Linked DNA regions of Arabidopsis thaliana. The protein of the gene in region 1 interacts with the protein of each later gene in a pairwise test. Each region holds a gene or a part of one and is shown in the gene's direction. Other genes may lie near its edges.

Region 1 (3,887 bases):
TTTTTTTATAGAATATGAAAACATAAATAAACATCATTACTTGCCTCAGAAAAATAAAAGTAAAAAATAAAAATAAACATCATTATTAGAGATCATAAAAAAAATAATTTGCAGGGTATTCAGTGTGATCAATGATTTCGACAGATTTCAAGATCAATAATTTGTAGTTGGCTTCATTTGTTTGTAAACACATTTTGGAGGTGGTGATAAAACACATTCTTAGTGATGAAATAGATAAATACATTTCTAAATAGATGTAAATCAAATGATGGTTTGACTGGTTTGCATATAAAACATTTTCTAGAAGAAGTTATTAATCATATTTTAAACAAGAATTGTAATCATATACCATTCCCTCTCTCAAATTTGTTTTGAGCTTTTGTTAAAGTATGTATCTGTCTCTTTGATGGGAGACCAAATCAAATCTCATAATAGCGTTGTATGCTTTCGTTTTAATTCGTTTATAGAGGAAGAAATAAGGTGACAGTGTAGACCAATATGGTTAAGCTATTTTTAGTGGCATACTCTCGACTATGCATCCAAGGAAAATCAATCTTCTTGAACAAAAAGTTTATAACTTACAACTTATAAGAATGGACTAATATATCTTAAGACTTACACCAAATCCAATTACTTTGATAGAATATGAAAACATAAATGAACATCATTATTTGCCCAAAGAAAAATAAACATCATTATTAGAAATCATAGAAAAAATAATCCGGAGGGTATTTGGTGTGATCAATGATTTCGACAGATTTTAAAACCTTTTTTATTTTCTCCAGTAACTTATCTTGATCAATATTTTCTCCCTTCACTGCAAATACGTCGTCCATGATACCACAACTTATGACATCAACTCCTAATATAATAATAAAAAGATGACAATCATTCACATTGTTCAAAATTCGTTTGTTGAATATAATTGTTGGGTGTGTGTAGGTTTGTACCTGGAAAACCACCTGCAATTTTGAATCCTTTTCGCCATTTTTTTTCGGGATATCCTGGATGCTTGAATACAATCGTCATCGACTACAAACAATGAAATAAAACTAAAGCTTTAGTGAATTTATTATATAACCACATAAATAGGTTTACTAAGAAAAATAACTAACCATTTTTTGAAAAACTCAAAAGTTTGGAAGGAGAAGAGAAGATGATGGACAAGAATGTGATTACAAACTCGCTTGCTCATCAACCTCTATATATATTACTGAAAATTGATTTTTTTTGTTAAATAATCTATAAAAGTACATTTATCTCTCAATTTCACAATCTCTTTCGACATATGTCACAATTTCTCATAACAAATTTTTGACACAAAAATAGATTTATCTTCTTTTTTTTTTTGTTGAAACAACACAAAAATACATTTATCTCTCAAAGATTTTTTTGTTACAATATGGAGCAAATAAATTAATTAAACTGGAAATTATTTTAACAAGATAATATATGTAATTAATAAAAATATATGTTAATTTATAGAATTAACTAATCTGATAAAAATATATAAAGTAATCAAAGTTATAGTAAAAAAAAAAAAAAAATCAAAGTTATAGTAAATAATATTTAAACGTATGTCACAAAATTTACAAGATATAAACTTTTCAAAAAAGAGAGGATAAACCATCGTAAATATAAATACAACGAGTGTAAGTATTGGTTAATAAAATATTAAATATAGTTATCATCAAATAATTTGATAAACCCCCAATTCTTAATTCAATTCGACAAGATCATTTTGAGTTTCTCAGTCTCCGATACTGCCCAAACTTAAGGCCCATATTTAATGAACTCATTATAGGCCCAAAACAAAGCATATAAAGTCATCGTCTTCTCTAGTCCTGCGAAAACCCTAGTTTTTTGCTCTCTCGAAGTTCCGTGCGACTCTCTGCTCGAGCAAGATCTCCTACCGATACAATGGTAACACACAAGCTCTGCTTTTGATCTATTTCTCTATTCTCATCATATTCTCCGGTGTCTCAGAATGTTGTTTCGTTGAATTTTGACCATTTTCTTCTTCCTTCTTGCTCTCAGATTATCTCAGAGGCTAACCGCAAAGAAATCTGCAAGTACCTCTTCAAAGGTTCGTTCTTCTTAAATTTGTTCTTAGATCTCTGTTTTCTTCAGCTTCTGTGAGTAAATTGATTCATTTTTAGGCTTATGCCGATGAACATTGTGATTTTTGAACTAGTTTAGGTTAACTAGTTATGGTAGCAATTATGATGTTTGGCTTAGAAGGTGAACATTGTGTTGATTATCATATGTTCTATGATTTTTGCAGAAGGAGTTTGCTTTGCGAAGAAGGATTTCAATCTTGCTAAGCATCCGTTGATCGATGTCCCCAACCTACAAGTGATTAAGCTTATGCAGAGTTTCAAATCCAAGGAGTATGTTAGGGAGACATTTGCCTGGATGCATTACTATTGGTTTTTGACCAATGAAGGGATCGAGTTCTTGAGAACTTATCTTAATCTTCCATCTGATGTTGTTCCTGCTACTTTGAAGAAGTCAGCTAAGCCTGGTGGTCGTCCATTTGGTGGCCCACCTGGTGATCGCTCAAGGTGATTAACTCTTTGCTTAACCCATTTCATGTCTGGCAAAAACTTTTTTTTTTTTTAATTTGTTTGACATGGTTTGGGTTTCTTTGTATTTCAGAGGACCTCGCCATGAAGGAGGAGACCGTCCCAGGTTTGGTGACCGTGATGGGTACCGTGCAGGTCCTCGAGCTGGTGGTGAGTTTGGAGGTGAAAAGGGTGGAGCTCCCGCAGATTACCAGCCATCTTTCCAAGTAAATTCTCACTGACCATACCTTCTATTTACTTCTCTATCTCACCAACGTCATATAATGTGCTACTCTTGAAGTCTTTATCATAGAGCTCCTGAACCTGAGAAACCATGAACATATTTAGTCTCTCTTTATCACTTTAGTTACAAGGAACATAAATCTTTTACTTTAGCTGTGAAGTGTTTCAAAGTCTATAGTTATATAATTGCCTTGTGATTTGATTTACCCGCCTTCTCTTTGTTTGGTTGCCATTGTTCTAACATCCTTTCTTGTTTATCAGGGAAGTGGCCGTGGTTTTGGCCGTGGTGCTGGTGGCTACAGCGCAGCTGCACCATCTGGTTCAGGTTTGCCTTGAAAAAGAAATGTCTTTAGGTGACAGTAAGACCATGGAGGAGTTTTCAGCTTTAAATTTTGCTTTTGTAATTCAGATTCCGGAATCCTTCATAATCTCTATCTGAGTTTAGTTTTGTTGTTGAATCAAACATCCGATTTAAAGTTATGTTCATTCCATCTTCTCTCCCCTTTTCGAGCATGCGAGAATATGATTCCCCCTATTGAACAAATCAATCAACCTTTAAGCGATAACAAATTGGTGTTGTGAAAATTATTAACTTCTTGATCTCGTTTTGTCAGATCTAAAATTACTATAGCCAAGCTACCTTTCACGTCAAGTTGTCACTCCTATCTATTCCAGTGATCTTAGGAAGTCTATCTTTTGGAAGTCAAGTTTTACTCTAGGGAACCAAAAGATTTGTTCAGAAACAAGAAAAGTTCCTTAGCTGAATAACAAAAACTTGAATCAGTATTAGACAGACCCACCACACGATATAACAGACCTGACACAAACCCAACCCTAGAAGTAGTCACAATGTTCAAGTAACTCTAAAGATATAAAAAAAAAGACAAAGACATTTTGGAAAATCTTAAAACTCAGAACAACTCGACATATTAGAAGTTTTCAGAACCATAAGAGCAATTTCTTCATCTCTTAGTCGACTTCCTCCATCTTGCTCTCTTCAGCAGCGTCCTCCTCCAACTCAGGCATATCACCATCTTCCTCAACGTTCTCATCCTCATCAATACTCAGACCCAACTTCAA
Region 2 (6,497 bases), on another chromosome or scaffold:
AAACTCAATCAGATAATCGGATAAACTAAAATTCAACACAATTAACTCCAATTGCGACCTAAACGCATCAAGATGAGCTTAACAACGATATAACAAAAGCGTAGAGGAGATATAATTCGATGATCCAACGAACAACCACTTGAGCGATTCGAGAAACTTCCAAAAATACTTCAATCAAAAACAAAATAACATCTAAACAATAGAAGGAAGACGGAAAAAACCCAGGGAAGTGTAATTGAATCACCTCGAGCTTACGAACGGCGACGGCATTGGAAGAGCCGGTGATGGTCATGAAGGTGTCAATAGCTTCCTGAGTAGGTGTCGCCATTAGAAAAGAGAAAGCTTGAGAGAAGTTTTTCGTCGGAGATTTGTGTTTGGAGCTGGAGTGAAGGAGGAGGCAAGAATTAATATATGTTGTAAATCACAAAAATTGCAGTGAAGAAAGGAATTGGATCGGTGACTCTTAAGATTTTTAAAGCCTTTTTTAGGGTCTTTCTTCTTTTCCATTTTTTTTAATTCTCCTTTTTTATTTGGTGTGGATTTTCTTAAACTTTATTTTCTTTATTCTTTTTGTATATTTTCGGTGATATTCAAGATATTATTTTCAGAGAACTTGAGATAATATATGGAGTGTCCTAATCTGAATAACTAAATAAATAATTATTCAGTTGAAATTGGATTTTTTTTTTCAGAGTCTTTATATTTTATAAACTGGAATTCGAGTCAAATTCAGAGTGGATTAAACTTATCTTTTTAGTTTTTACTAGCCAAGAACTTTTTGACCTTTTTTTTTAACATGATATTAATTGTTATAGTGTATATACATTAAAAGTTAGATAATTTTTAATGTACAAAAAAAAAGTTACATAATTTATTTTTTTTCACACCAATTACATATTTTATTTGTCAATTTGACAGTAAATATGGAAATAAGCCTTAAAATGTAAAGGCTTTTCGGTCCAACAACGAAAAACCAAAACCAAACCCAAAACTAAAATATCCAAAGATATCCTCACTTTATGATCATCCCAATCTTCCCTCTATATAGTGCCTTTAAAGGAGCTGTCATGTTCTCTTTCGGCCGTTTGTAATATAAGAATTGTCGTTTTTGTCCAAAAAAAAGGGTTGGCTTTCAGTTTGTGTCCCAGAAACAAAGTAAATCTTTAGATAAATTGAAACAAAACTAGCTTTGTGACTCCAATTAAACTTTGCTTCCTCTAAGAAACCTTATGGAGAGTATTATTCTACAATGATTTGAAGTATACTACTAATAATTGATTACATTTAAATTCAACTATAATTTATTGTTATTGTTCTTCAATCAACTTGAACTTTGAGTTTATTGGGCACATTACTTTTAGAGGAATGTGAATGTGAACATTGAAGAGACGTGTATTTTATTTTCTTCTTGACAAATACCGTTGGAGGTATAAAAACACCATCAAACTCAGGCCCATTTGGCAATGGCGGCAACAAGAATGGGTATTATATTGAGGTTAATTTCGTCAATCACCACTTTTAAATCGTGACAAATTCGTCTATTATCTCTCAATCTTCTTCAACCTTCAATTACATCGGCAATTCTACAAGTGGCAGCATCCTATTAGTAACAAACACACGTGGCGTAAGCTAATGCGTCGTAGTGTTTATAATAGCTGGGGTTTGTTAATTATGGCGTCACGAGTGATTTAAGAAGCAGCTGAAAAATAATAAACAATGAGGGAATGCCAACGTTTTAAATTATATTTTTAATTTGTGAATTTTCATCAGAGTCGGATCTTGATGCGACTGCTCAAACAGAGTCACCGGCGATTACGATGGCCGGAAACAACTCGGAATCGAGTCTCTACCAGGTTTTGGTGGAGTGGTGTCAGAGGATGGAGACGAGTCAAGCGAGACTAAGGGAGGATGTTGATGACTTATTGCTTCAGGAGGAGAGTCGAACCGGTAAGGAATCGGCGACGGGATTGGAGACGGACACGGAGAAAGAGGCTGAGGTAGAGGTGGAAGCGGAGGCGGCGGATTCCTGGGATAATCCGACGGCGACTTGGGAGAGAGCTGTTTCAGGATTCTATTTCGCTGATAGTGCGTATCGGACTTTGATGGATTCAATGGGACACGCGATTCATGTAACATCAGCTGCGTCTGGAGAAATTACATTCTGGTGAGCTTGATAAGTTCTTCTTCTTCATCTATGGTGTTTGTAGATCAGGAGCTTATAGTTCTTCTAAGTACTGTTTCATTGAATTGTGTGTTTAAGTAGTTAAACAAAGTTATATATAGCGATTCATTGTATATGCAAGTGGACATTTACTATTTGTTTCTGAGTGGAGAGATTCTTTTATTATTATTCAGGAGTCGTTCTGCTGAGAATCTGTACCATTGGTATGCTGAGGAAGTTGTTGGCTACAGAACTATTGATGTGCTTGTAACCGAAGAATACCGTAATTCCCTTACTGGTATCAGGAATAGGGTGTGCCGTGGAGAGACTTGGACTGGTCAGTTTCCGTTTCAGAAGAAAACTGGTGAACTATTTATGGCTTTGGTGACTAAAAGCCCTGTGTATGAAAACGGTGAGCTGGTTGGTGTTGTTACTGTCTCGAGCGATGCAACCCTTTTCAATAGGATGCATCCACTAAGTAATGAGCATCAACAACAAGCTCGTAGTAATAATAGACATGAATCAAACTTGAGAAAACATCAGTGGCACCTCCCGAGGCCTCAGATCGCTGCAGCATCACAGGTTCCAGTTGTCCCACAATATTCATCAGCTGTTGCTTCAAACCTGGTAGATCTCACATCATGAATGTTCGAAGTTTCTCAGTACTTTTTTTTATATAATAATTCGTGTGCAACATGAATGATTGTTTGTTTTGCTGTTTTCTGCACAAACCAAGAAGGCGTCGAAGCTTCTACCACAGAGAAATGGAGATGATTCCTTCAATGGAAATCATAATTCGAGGAGCCGAGATGAAAATGTTCCGGTTGTTGCCTCCACAACTTTCGAGAAGTATGGCTCACTGGTAAGTCTTCGTTGGCTCCTTAAACAAGACACTTCTCATTGACATTTCTTAGAACGATTATTGTCTCATGTTATAAGCTAAATCTGCATATACACTAGTGTAGGCGGATAAGTTTTTGGGGAAGCTGCAAAGGAAGATTACTGGCAGCCAAGGAACCGAAGATAATGAGCCTATCTTAAGAAACGGTATCAATAAGTCAGCATGTGGCAGTGGAGGTAGTTCTAAGGCTTCTAATGCAGTTACCTGCACGGCTTTCAGAGACAATGGCAATGGAAAACCAAAAAGGGCTGAAGTTAGAATTTCAGATGTCTATGGAAATGGAGCTGAGGGTTTGATACATAATGGAGATCGCTTTCAGTATATTGGGAACCTGGGACAAAGTAAACCTCCCAGAGGACTAGAGAGTGGTTTGGTGTCTGGCATGCGGGGAACAAAAATGTCGGACCTAAATGGTGAGATAGAAGATGCTTGGAATACTCGTCTTAGTGTTGATCCCTTGCCAATTCTAGGAGTCAACAGCGGTAGGCAACAAAGTCCTGTCAACCAAAGGAATAATAGATTAGTTACTGATTCGTCATGTGAGATACGATGGGAAGATCTACAACTTGGGGAGGAGGTCGGAAGAGGTGTATTTCATTTACCAAAGTCTTACACTCGTTTTCACGTTTTAGATATGCAAATTCAATTCAGATCTGTGTCATTGCTGTTTAAATCAGATTACAAGTATTTCTGATGCGTTACATTTTCTCACAGGTTCATTTGCTGCGGTTCATCGTGGAGTTTGGAATGGATCGGTGAGTTTTCTGTAATTTAAGATAAAATAAGGATGATTCTAGTATTAGTTGCACATGGATAACTAACTAGTCCAATCTATTTGGACCAGGATGTTGCTATTAAGGTTTACTTCGATGGTGATTACAATGCGATGACTTTGACGGAGTGCAAAAAGGAGGTATGTATAATTAGTTCTCTCTGTTATGAATTGTTTCTAGAAGTTACTCGTACCAGACAAAATAAATCAGTTTTGATCAATAATATCTTCAGATCAACATTATGAAGAAACTGAGACATCCGAATGTGCTACTATTTATGGGAGCAGTATGTACAGAAGAAAAATCTGCCATAATCATGGAATATATGCCAAGGTGAGATTATTGACGTATGGATCTGGAAGTAGTGTTACTCCTTATCGAGTGTGTTATATTATGCTGCAAGAAATTGCAGATGAATACTCTGTGCTAAGTTATTTCTATACGGTTTTGATGATTAGAGGGAGTCTCTTCAAAATACTTCATAATACGAATCAGCCATTGGACAAGAAACGCCGTTTAAGAATGGCCCTTGATGTTGTAAGACTCTGATCTTCCAAAAACCTCCCTCACAATGAAAGAAAAAAATATGAAAGGCTGATTATATTCGGGTTCTCTGTTGTTGTTGCAGGCTAGGGGAATGAATTACTTACACCGCAGAAATCCGCCAATTGTACATAGAGACTTGAAATCTTCCAATCTACTCGTGGACAAGAACTGGAATGTCAAGGTACAAACAGTTTTCTCAAGTTACATTTATGAAGACTTGTAAAATGAGTTTACTATTGCATGGACTTTCAACTCTTTCTTCCCTAGGTTGGAGACTTTGGGTTATCAAAGTGGAAGAACGCAACCTTCTTGAGTACTAAATCCGGGAAAGGAACTGTAATGTTTAACAAAAGCCATTTCTGATTCTTTTAATCCACAAAACAGTCTTGGATTTCTGTTACTAAACATTGTTCAACTTTTTTCTATGTGCAGCCGCAGTGGATGGCTCCTGAAGTTCTCAGAAGTGAACCTTCGAATGAGAAGTACGTTGGATATAATATTAACCCTTTTTTGTTCTCTTTTCGAAGACATTATTCAATAACTTGAACATTTTTTTGGACTAAAAGCTCAATGCTTTCGTTGTAATAGGTGTGATGTGTTCAGCTTTGGAGTCATCTTATGGGAGCTAATGACTACGTTAGTACCATGGGACCGTTTGAACTCTATTCAGGTACCTCTCAAATTCTGTTCTTATGAGATTATAGCTTGATCATAAGATTGTAGTAATCTTAGCAACTTTAAATTAGGTTGTTGGAGTTGTTGGTTTCATGGATCGACGATTAGACTTACCTGAAGGATTAAATCCCCGGATCGCATCCATAATACAGGATTGTTGGCAAACGTAAGAAGACGCATCTGTAAATTGTTTCATCAAATACACCCTACAAACTTAGGGGCGATTTTTCTTATATTCTTTGTTCTAAATTGTTGAAACAGTGATCCAGCAAAACGACCGTCGTTCGAGGAATTAATTAGTCAGATGATGAGCCTGTTCCGCAAACCAGGGTCAGGTGCGCAAGAAGAAGACGATTGAGAAGGTAAACAGTACATGGTTAAAGGATAGTTCACAAAGCAAAGGACGTGAAAAGAAAACGAAAGCATCGTCCTGATCACTTACTATACAAATGTTTCATTGTGTTATACCAAACTACTATTTATGTTTTCATTGAAAGAAAGAAAGCAAAAATAGCTAAATCAAAGTAATATACAGTAGAATCTTAGGTTAGTTTAGTTAAACTATGCATTATATAAACTGTTGTCGGTTTATGAGCTAAGTTGTAAAATGGGATCTAAAAAGGCAGAGGCGCAGAGGCCAGAGGAGGACTCAGATGTAATTTAAGAAGTAAAAGGGTGAAAAAGAGAAATACGAGAAAAACTGTGAGATTGATGGTGTCTTGTAGTGAATTGTAATGTAGTTGGTTTTGGTTTGATGGGGTAAGAGAAGGAGGAGTGACAATTCGTAGGCATTGCTTCTTTTGCTTTAATATTCTCTTATTACAGCTTCCCATCACTGCGTCGTCTGTAGCTTCTCAGCACCTAATTATAAGAGAGAGTCAGAACCCTAAATAAAACTTTTTTTTCAATCCTTATTCGTAATTCCACATTACAGCATCTTGAAATTGACGCAGTCACAAAAGCATAATTAAAAAAAAAAGGATACAAAGATGGGTCTATTATACCGAGTATGTATTGTGCATGCATGTGACGTGGGTGAAGGGAACTTCTCTTATAGAAGTATTGAAAAAGGAGAAATTTTGGGGGATTGAAAATATTTGTCTGTTTGTCTGGTTAGGTCAGAACAAATCACATCGAGCTGCATAGTAATATTTCGTTTACAACACATGGTTGTGACCTCTAGACAAATAAACTTTTTAACAGTTTTCGCTGTTTTGCCTTGCATGTATTTCGTAGTATTTCAATTTATATGTAACTATATTTCAATTGAAACATCTTTACCATATTATTTTCTTTTTTGATGCCAATTTCTTTACCATGTGTTTGCTCTTGTGTTATTTATGTGTGATTGATTGATTGACCGTGTCGATTACCCAAGCGGAATCTTGTAAAGGGATACTCCGTCACCGTAATACAGTGACAGCATATTTAATTTAAAATA
Region 3 (4,123 bases), on another chromosome or scaffold:
AGCTTCATCAGAGCAACTGTTTTTTTTTTTGTTAATAATATATATTGATATATTTGAAACGTTATTTAGGTCAAAAGAGAGATTTTTAACAAAGGAAAGGGCCAAAAGAGAGATTTTTAACAAGAATAACGCTGACCAAAAAGGGACCACCAAATCACATTTGCCGAAACCACAAGTACCTCAACATTATAAAAACATCCAAACATATATCCAATGTACTGTGCATGTCATTATTATATTTGAGGTCAAATATTTAACTAATGTTTTTTTTATGATTAACATGCGAGTTTACATAAAGAGTTAGTATATGATAAACTGTTGGAAAAAAAAAGTAGTAGGGTACATGTTACGAGAAAACTAAAAAAAAAAATTATTACATTGTACTGACATATATGTTAAGAAAAAAACTATATGTAGCATAAACGAAGGCAAACGAAAATACAGCTCGAAAAAACTAAAAAATTCCGATTTTGGTGTTAAAAGAGCCACCAGAACCGATAACACAATCAGCGGCGACTAAGTTTCTTTAAGAGAGAAGCATGAGGGTTTTTGAAGAGAGAAAGGGTTTGGTTTTTGTACAGTATTTGTTCGTTTATTCGCAGAAAAAAAAACAAAACATAGCAGTCATGGATTCTCTTTCAACGCCTCCGTCGACTATGCAAAATTCCACCAGAGGCTCTCAATCCTTATCGTCCCTGCTAACGTCAAATCTCCCTCCACCGTCGTTTCAGCCACCAACGACAAATCTCAGTCTGAATTCTCTTTCAACGCCTTCGTCGACTATGCAAAATCTCTCACTATACCTCGGGATTCTCTAGCTCTTGCACACTTACACCATCCATGCTAACGTCAAATCTCCCTCTGCTGTCTAATCTCTCTCCACTGTCGTCTCACTCACCAACGACGAATCTCAGTCTGAATTCCCTTTCAACGATGTCGACTATGCAAACTTTCACCGGAGACTCTCAGTCCGTACCGTCTCTGCTAACGTTAAATTTTCCTCTGCTGTCTAATTTAGGGCTTTTATTGTGCTCTATCCAATAGTGCCAATTCTAGCTATGGTTGGGTTCTCCGTGTGCGAGTGTATTGTTTGTCTACTCTTCTGGTTTCATTTAGGACAAAATGATGTTGCAGAGCCTGAAGAAGACATGTGATTTGGTCTACTTCCGAAGATTTTGATGATTATAATTACTCCTTTTTATTATATGAGAATTATATGTTATGCACTTCTTTCTATTCTATGAGAATTATATGTTATGAACTCAAATTAATTCTATACTATGTTTTAGAAACGAATGTTTGCTGGATATTTCTTATTAATATTATATTTTGTGTTGAAAAGTGTTTCTAGATGCGCATACAAATTAGTTGAGTTTGAGTAGCAAATATGTATGCTGCTTTTTTCCTACATTTTTCGGTTTGTTATGTTTTCACATATTCCCTTGGGAATCGATCCAAGCGGAAAGCCTAAAAAGAAGAATGCATCAATTCGTGTTGATTTGTGGGCTTAAGCCCAATAGCTTTGGACCCTCCACACTGATAGCATTTTCTTAGGGCTATCAATGCTAAAGGCTAAAACGAGACTGATAATTAAATAAGTTGCATTAATTAAGCAAGTGTCACGCTTCTTCTTGTTAAAACGTTTAGTCTGTGACTAAATAAATATAGTATGACACTGAAAAAACTCCTTTCACTTTTTTTAATATATACTATAATGATGATCCATTCTCCTTTGATGCTAATTTGGAAATATTGGTCTTATCAAAAAATATAAGAAATATAGCGGTGTCTAATCTTCCATGTGCACACACTTGTTTATCCCTATTTTTTTGTATATACTTTTTTAGTTAACAGCATGAGGCTTGACTTTTCTCTGTCCTTTCAACAATTCAATGGCAGACCCAAGGTTCATGCTTCTTCTCTCTCTGTCTAACCTCGGCTTGAAATCTTTTTCAGATTTTGATTGTTCCTTTTTCTTTTTCCTGTTTGTCTCCAGAGTTGCAGTTGTTACTGGTTCCAACAAAGGGATTGGGTTTGAGATTTGCAGGCAACTAGCTAACAATGGGATAACTGTGGTTTTAACTGCGAGAGATGAAAACAAGGGTCTTGCTGCTGTCCAAAAGCTCAAGACTGAGAATGGTTTTTCTGATCAAGCCATCTCCTTTCACCCTCTTGATGTCTCCAACCCAGACACCATCGCTTCTCTTGCTGCTTTTGTCAAGACCCGCTTCGGCAAACTCGATATTCTGGCAAGTTTCTCTTTTCTTTTCCTATTATCATCAATCTAGATCTACTAATCGTGGCTTTAATCAGTTTCACTGTCGGATCTTATTAGGTAGCTGCACTTCCCTTTCCATGATCACATTTCTTAACTAAGATCTGATCCTTTTTAGGGATTGAGATACTTCTTCAACAACTTCTTGTCTGTTGCGACTAGGATACATACATGTTAACTAGAAAGGATATAACTCTTAAGCGAGCATTATCTGAAAATAGCAATTCTGTTCTGTCTACTCTTTTCTGATTTCTTGTTTGGTATATATGTCTTCAGGTTAATAATGCCGGAGTTGGAGGGGCGAATGTTAATGTTGATGTTCTCAAAGCTCAGATTGCTGAGGTACACTTTCCTACTTTCTCTTACCTTTTTGAAATATATACTGCACAAGCTTGAGAGGTGGTCTTACATATAAATGACTACTAGTGCAGGCTGGTGCGCCAACTGATATTTCCAAGATAATGAGTGATACATATGAGATAGTCGAGGAGTGTGTTAAAACAAACTACTACGGCGTTAAGCGAATGTGCGAGGCCATGATTCCTCTCCTTCAATCTTCTGATTCCCCAAGAATCGTCAGCATCGCTTCCACCATGGGAAAGTTAGAGGTACCATCTTGATTTCTTCTAGTCAATAAACTTAAAGGAAGGGATCGTTTATGAAATTGACTCTTTGGCTGGTTAATTCTCGTATTTTGGTGTTGGGTAAAGGATGAATCTTGTTTGTGTGCAGAATGTTTCAAATGAATGGGCAAAAGGAGTGCTGAGTGATGCTGAGAACCTAACAGAAGAGAAAATAGATGAAGTGATCAATGAGTACCTCAAGGATTACAAAGAAGGTGCATTACAAGTCAAAGGTTGGCCAACAGTGATGTCTGGATACATACTATCGAAAGCTGCAGTGATCGCATTGACACGAGTATTGGCTAAGCGACACAAATCGTTCATCATCAACAGTGTTTGTCCTGGTTTCGTAAACACAGAAATCAATTTCAACACTGGGATCTTGAGCGTTGAAGAAGGTGCAGCGAGTCCAGTGAAACTGGCTTTGGTCCCTAATGGAGACCCATCTGGTCTTTTCTTTGATCGCGCCAATGTCTCCAACTTTTGATTCTTCAATCTTATGTGTTCGGTTGGGTGTTGGTTTGTATATTTTATTATCTCATCAATTTAGCAGAAAATAAAGTGAACTCCAAACTATATATCAACCAAACTTGGTTATATTATAAAGCTTCTTCAATATTTATGTGGTTTTGTATTCCCAAAATAATGTATTTTTCCTCTTGAATCCTATCGGCGTGTTTCCCCACCTAGGTTCAGATAGTTTGCCTGTGCGCGTTCTCGTGACGCAAAATTGTTATTGGGCTGCTAGAAGGCCCATTTTAAGTGAGTCTGTGAGACTATATAAATGCCCTAAGTCTCGGAAAAGAAAAAAAGTGTAGCCGTAATTTGTAATTGATCATAATGAAGCCGGAAACTAAGAGAAGCACCGCCACAACAAGACGGCGGACCAATGACGGTGGTTCTCCGTTCAATTTCAGCTCTCTCAAGCAAGCGATCGAGGCCATAGATGCTGCAAAGGATACTTCAATCAATCTATCGTCGTTGTCTGTGGCGTTATCCGCCGCGAGTCGTGAGATGAAGCAAAGGAAGGAGAAATCTCACCGTAGGCGAGAAACCAGGAAGAGGGACAAGAAGAAGAAGAAGAAGAAGGATAGTAACAACAATACGAAGCTAGTGATCGGAACAAAGCCGGAAACGGATGCAGAATTGCGAAGATGGTTTTCATACTTCGACAAATCCTTTAAACTATCATTGCCGAGAAAGGTGAAACTAACATCGCCGAGAA
Region 4 (5,568 bases), on another chromosome or scaffold:
AGAGCGAGCTAAATATATGCAGAAGGAGCCTCAAAAGGTGATAAAGATAAAAACAATCAAGTCATAAAAATGCGATTACCTTGATAACACCAGTCCCCAAAGGCAAGGTCTTTGAACTCCAAGGATAAGGATCTATTCATTTAGTTGAAAAGAAATGGAGAAGAAGACGAATTGAAGAGTAAATCACCAGAAATTGATCTTATAATACAAAACAACATTTCATACACTGAAAAGGATAAAAGTAATAATACCTCGGCGATGAAGCTGCTTGGAATGAATAAAATCCAAGCACTCATTAATTTTGTGAGTCTCAAACTTGACAAAATGAAGTCTACCACCAAGAACAGGATAACTTCTCAAGTTGCCATTGGTAATACCCAATCTCTCCTTGATCGTCCTCTTCCGCTTATCATCATCATTAGAGTAGTCCTCATGTCGTGAAAAATACAACAACTTTATCAAAGAACCTGCAAATAAACTTAAAAGGGTTCATAATTCTCAAACATAGCACTTAAGAAATAAACATCGAAATTGCCAAAACCAAGAAGTGACACCAAATACTACTGGAAGAACCACAAGCACTAGATCAATGGTCAACTACAGTGAAAATAAAAAAGAAGTGAAATTTGTTGTCACCTCCGATATCAAGAGCCAAATGAGAGATATCATCAGACTGATTAGGCAATAAAATGGTGGGATCTCTCTCCTCGAGGTTCCCCTGAATTTCGGCTTTGCTTAGATCAAGCTGAGGTCTAGAGCCTGATCTGTGGATCGGAGTACCAGAAGTAGAAGGAGCCATATTTTTATCAGCAGCAACAGAAACCTGAGATTTTGCTTCAGCTTCTCTTTTATTGTCAAGAATTGGATCATACTCATCCTCTTGACCCGCCATTTTTTTTTTTTATTAAAAAATAAAAAAGGAACCCAACCAAACCCAGAAAAATCGGATCACCAACAATTGCCTAATTCTCCCAAACCACCACAAAACCCTTCCTTGCAAAGTTTAAAAAGTCAAACGACACGAACTGATGATGATAAGACTTTCCAGGGTAAAGAAGTAAACTGTTCGAGCTTTTGCTAATACGATTATACGACTAAGCTTAGAATCGCTTAAGCAGGCTGAAGCGGACCTAACTCCAAACAAAATTTGTATTTATATATAATTGTTTGTTAACTAATTAACTACCACATAAATTTCCCAAAAAAAAAAAAAAACTACCACACAAATTTGTAGTTTTTAATGAATTTGTAAGTGGATTAGGTTTGGTGTTTCACAATAATGACCAAACTCGAACTCCACTTGCCACTTATGAGTTTTTCCAAGTCATAGATGAGGATTACTGTGTTGGTTTCGATATCTTAATTAATCCGTCACACTTAATTCTTTATGTTTTACGATTTTTTGAAGTTTAAGATTTTGCTAACATTACACTATTCACGATAAATCACTTTTTCAGATTTAAGATATTTTTCGCCGGAATTTAGAAGGTAGGATATCCTTTAAAATGCTTTTGTGAAGATGGATTATATTATACAATTGGACTATTTGGTGTAGATAAAATCTTATGTGGGAAACAAATATTTTAGGAACACTAAACCAAAAATACCATTGTTACATTTTTTAATGATAAAAAAGTTCACTTGCAAATGTAACAAGATACAACCTCGTTGGGTTGATATGTTAAGAAAACTAGCTGATGGATTGGTTTTTCATTGGGTCTATTGGGCCAATGTCATGGGCCTGATGACTTTTATTCAGTTTCTTAAATTTATATTCCAGTTTAATATAACATACTCTTTAGTGTGTAAGCATTTCTAACCACGCGACTAGCCGACTACGCGAAAGAAAGAGAATTGTCATACTAGAAAACCGTTACCACGTACGTAATTAAGAAGAGTCCATTATTTTTACAAATAGATCCCTTGGCCGTGTATTTGGACAATGCCGACATGCATCTTATGAATAAGGGCAAAAAGGACTTTCGAGTTTACTGGCGACCACAACTCGCAAGCCAACGCGAGCCTCTATTTATTATTTTGTATCCTTTTTTTTGGTAAAAGAATTTTGTAACAATATCCATTCCCTAGCTAGATTCTTCTTCTTCTTCCTTGGATTTGTTCTCGTAAGCATTCTTCTCCAAAACGCCCACTTGTTAAATTTGATCCAGTGGATTTGGGTTTTGTTCCGTCTTTAAGCTCCATGGCGATTGCATAATTATGCTCTCAGGATGGGTTTCTCTCAGGCCATTCGCTTGAATCTTGCTTCCTTCTCCTCTCCCTCTCCCTGCGATGTTTGTTTCCTTACCTTTCTCTATATTATCCCCTATATTTTCATTTATATATCGCTGCTGATTCACAACACTTTACTTACTCTTAACTTTATCAAACTTGAATTTTTGACTTTTGCTGGCCTTGTTCTGATTGTTCCTTGTTCTGGCTTAAAAAGATTGCAAATTTCAATACTGTTCCTTTAATTTGAATAAGTTTGCTTGCATCCATATTGATTAGTGTCTGTCCAAAATAATCAAACTTTTGATTTTGATTTTGATGTCGGCCATATGATTTTTTCTTATGCAGTATTGTTTGACAAGAGTAGTAAACCATAAGCAGAAGAGTCTTGTCGCATTCCCGAGCATTACAAGGAGAAAGAGACATCTTTTACTGAGTGTTCAATCAGTCTTGCACAATACAAGACCCAACATCAACGACAATGGCTCAGCTGAGTCTGCAAATGTTCTTTTCGATAAATTATTTGCTCGGACACACAGATTGGAGAGACAAACCAATCAACACTCGGTTTATCCTGACGATGATGATCTCCCCTATTCAAACCTTGGCGTGCTTGAGTCTGACCTTGAGGCTGCGCTAGTGGCCTTGTTGAAAAGGGAAGAGGACCTGCACGATGCTGAGAGGAAGCTTCTCTCTGACAAAAATAAACTTAACCGGGCAAAGGAGGAGTTAGAAAAACGTGAGAAAACAATCTCTGAAGCTTCGTTGAAGCATGAGAGTCTACAAGAGGAGCTGAAGCGGGCAAATGTGGAGTTAGCTTCTCAAGCCAGGGAGATAGAAGAGTTAAAGCATAAGCTAAGGGAAAGAGACGAGGAACGTGCTGCTTTGCAATCGTCCTTGACTTTGAAAGAGGAAGAGCTAGAGAAGATGCGTCAAGAGATTGCAAACAGAAGCAAGGAGGTTTCTATGGCTATTTCTGAATTTGAAAGCAAGTCACAACTCTTAAGCAAAGCCAACGAAGTTGTCAAGAGACAAGAAGGTGAAATATATGCACTTCAGAGAGCTCTTGAGGAGAAGGAAGAAGAATTAGAGATTTCTAAGGCTACGAAGAAACTTGAACAAGAAAAGCTTAGAGAAACAGAAGCCAACTTGAAGAAACAGACAGAAGAGTGGCTGATAGCCCAGGATGAAGTGAATAAGCTTAAAGAGGAAACCGTGAAACGTTTAGGAGAAGCCAATGAAACCATGGAGGACTTCATGAAAGTGAAAAAGCTTCTGACTGATGTAAGATTCGAGCTTATTTCTTCTCGGGAAGCTTTGGTATTTTCCAGGGAGCAAATGGAAGAAAAAGAGCTACTATTGGAAAAACAATTGGAGGAACTCGAGGAACAGAGGAAAAGTGTGTTGTCATATATGCAAAGCTTGAGGGATGCGCACACTGAAGTTGAAAGTGAGAGAGTAAAGCTCAGAGTTGTTGAGGCTAAAAATTTTGCGCTTGAGCGGGAAATATCGGTCCAAAAAGAATTGCTGGAGGATTTACGAGAGGAGTTGCAGAAAGAGAAACCATTGTTGGAGCTAGCTATGCATGATATATCCGTTATTCAAGATGAGCTTTACAAAAAAGCTAATGCGTTTCAGGTATCACAAAATCTACTTCAGGAGAAAGAGTCAAGTTTGGTGGAGGCCAAACTAGAGATTCAGCATCTGAAGTCCGAACAGGCTTCTCTAGAACTATTACTGCAAGAAAAGGATGAAGAACTCGCTGAAGCTCGAAATAAATTGGGAGAAGTGAACCAGGAGGTAACAGAGCTAAAGGCACTTATGATCAGTAGAGAAGATCAGCTTATGGAGGCAACTGAGATGCTGAAGGAGAAAGATGTCCACCTTCACAGAATAGAAGGTGAGTTGGGCAGTTCCAAGCTGAAAGTCACTGAAGCTGAAATGGTGGTGGAAAGAATTGCAGAATTGACGAACAGACTGCTTATGTCAACCACCAACGGTCAAAATCAGAATGCAATGAGGATTAACAATGAGATAAGCATTGACTCAATGCAGCAACCACTAGAGAAACCTCATGATGATTACGGAATGGAGAACAAACGGCTGGTGATGGAGTTAAGCTTCACCAGAGAAAATCTACGGATGAAAGAAATGGAAGTTCTAGCGGTGCAGAGGGCTTTGACATTTAAAGACGAAGAGATCAACGTGGTCATGGGAAGATTAGAAGCCAAGGAGCAGGAACTCAAGAAATTGAAAGAAGAAACGATCAATGACAGTGAAGATTTGAAAGTGCTATATGCCTTGGCACAAGAGAGAGTCGGGGAAAAAACAATGGGTGATCTGGCCATAGAGATGCTTCAGCTTGAGGCAGCTAACCTTGAAGTTGAAGCTGCGACCAGTGCATTACAGAAGCTTGCAAAAATGAGCACGGAACTGTTAACTCAAGCTGACATGAGCATTGAGGCCGACACAACTCACACTGTAATGCCAGAGAGAGGGTATTCAGAAGGAAGTAATGAGTGTCTTGGTGAGGTAAAAACAGAAGTTGTCAGGCTCTGGTCCTTGACAGAGAAACTCCTGGAGAACGCAGGAATCGTTGCTGGTACATCTACATGCATGGAAGGTGTAATTTTATAAAGCTTTGATTAACTTTATAAGCCTAATCTGTATGATTCTTTTGTGGATATGTAGAATTACTGGCGGTTAAATATGTTTACTTGTCACTGTGAGCAAGTCTATTGGAGAGTCTTAATCAAGAACTCTTTGCATTTTATAATAATAAATATTAAATAATTTAAAGTTTAGAGTTTTTATTGAATCTTTACAATTTTTTATTGTCCAATGGTGGTGGAGACTTTAAGAGGATTTCTTCAAAAAAAATAAAGATTTTAAAATAAAATATTATAAAGTTTTTTATTTGACAAAACTTAATAATTATTAGAAATAATAAAATTGTAAACATGCATCATGACATAAAAGCAAAAAAATATATAGAAATGAAAATTTGAAAAAGGATAATATTTAAGCTTGATTCGGACCAAAATTTTGCCATATATATACTCTGATACTCAATCAAATCATATTTCAATCGTTCATGCTAAGTACAAAAGTCGGGTTTTGATACTTAATAATTACTACAAATATTAAAATTGTATACATACATCATGATATAAAAGCAAAAAGAAAATATACAAATCAAAAAACTTAAATAACGACTAGATTTAAGCATTATTAAAACAATGCATAATCCTTTTTTTATATAGTTTTTTCTCAGCCAGTCACAAAGCAACACAACTAAAGTCTTTAACAAATGTTAAAACTCTAAGCTTAGGATCAATC

The links.
Region 2: the proteins of AT5G52650 (region 1) and AT4G23050 interact in a two-hybrid assay, tested with the Arabidopsis thaliana proteins (one large-scale study listed by BioGRID).
Region 3: the proteins of AT5G52650 (region 1) and AT1G01800 interact in a two-hybrid assay, tested with the Arabidopsis thaliana proteins (one large-scale study listed by BioGRID).
Region 4: the proteins of AT5G52650 (region 1) and AT4G32190 interact in a two-hybrid assay, tested with the Arabidopsis thaliana proteins (one large-scale study listed by BioGRID).

Annotation. Positions count from the first base shown.
Region 1 is NC_003076.8:21,355,037-21,358,923, reverse strand, and holds AT5G52650 (RNA binding Plectin/S10 domain-containing protein), read left to right. Parts: upstream 1-1,704; 5' UTR 1,705-1,920; coding exon 1,921-1,923; intron 1,924-2,037; coding exon 2,038-2,086; intron 2,087-2,284; coding exon 2,285-2,564; intron 2,565-2,658; coding exon 2,659-2,791; intron 2,792-3,068; coding exon 3,069-3,143; 3' UTR 3,144-3,383; downstream 3,384-3,887. Other genes in the region: AT5G52655 (uncharacterized protein), read right to left, coding at 699-862, 951-1,032, 1,116-1,118; HSP90.1 (heat shock-like protein), read right to left, coding at 3,777-3,887.
Region 2 is NC_003075.7:12,078,295-12,084,791, forward strand, and holds AT4G23050 (PAS domain-containing protein tyrosine kinase family protein), read left to right. Parts: upstream 1-1,765; 5' UTR 1,766-1,817; coding exon 1,818-2,164; intron 2,165-2,355; coding exon 2,356-2,788; intron 2,789-2,897; coding exon 2,898-3,023; intron 3,024-3,126; coding exon 3,127-3,649; intron 3,650-3,776; coding exon 3,777-3,817; intron 3,818-3,906; coding exon 3,907-3,975; intron 3,976-4,067; coding exon 4,068-4,168; intron 4,169-4,293; coding exon 4,294-4,372; intron 4,373-4,463; coding exon 4,464-4,562; intron 4,563-4,648; coding exon 4,649-4,717; intron 4,718-4,813; coding exon 4,814-4,863; intron 4,864-4,969; coding exon 4,970-5,051; intron 5,052-5,127; coding exon 5,128-5,222; intron 5,223-5,317; coding exon 5,318-5,414; 3' UTR 5,415-5,962; downstream 5,963-6,497. Other genes in the region: AT4G23040 (Ubiquitin-like superfamily protein), read right to left, coding at 245-328.
Region 3 is NC_003070.9:291,504-295,626, forward strand, and holds AT1G01800 (NAD(P)-binding Rossmann-fold superfamily protein), read left to right. Parts: upstream 1-1,742; 5' UTR 1,743-1,892; coding exon 1,893-1,906; intron 1,907-1,996; coding exon 1,997-2,249; coding exon of another isoform or gene 2,250-2,253; intron 2,254-2,551; coding exon 2,552-2,617; intron 2,618-2,706; coding exon 2,707-2,883; intron 2,884-3,007; coding exon 3,008-3,385; 3' UTR 3,386-3,583; downstream 3,584-4,123. Other genes in the region: AT1G01810 (uncharacterized protein), read left to right, coding at 3,739-4,123.
Region 4 is NC_003075.7:15,542,824-15,548,391, forward strand, and holds AT4G32190 (Myosin heavy chain-related protein), read left to right. Parts: upstream 1-1,976; 5' UTR 1,977-2,228; coding exon 2,229-2,291; intron 2,292-2,577; coding exon 2,578-4,866; 3' UTR 4,867-5,034; downstream 5,035-5,568. Other genes in the region: PANK2 (pantothenate kinase 2), read right to left, coding at 80-132, 252-467, 637-892. UniProt on the Arabidopsis thaliana protein: Required for the initiation of starch granules biosynthesis in leaf chloroplasts. Involved in determining starch granule number and size in chloroplasts.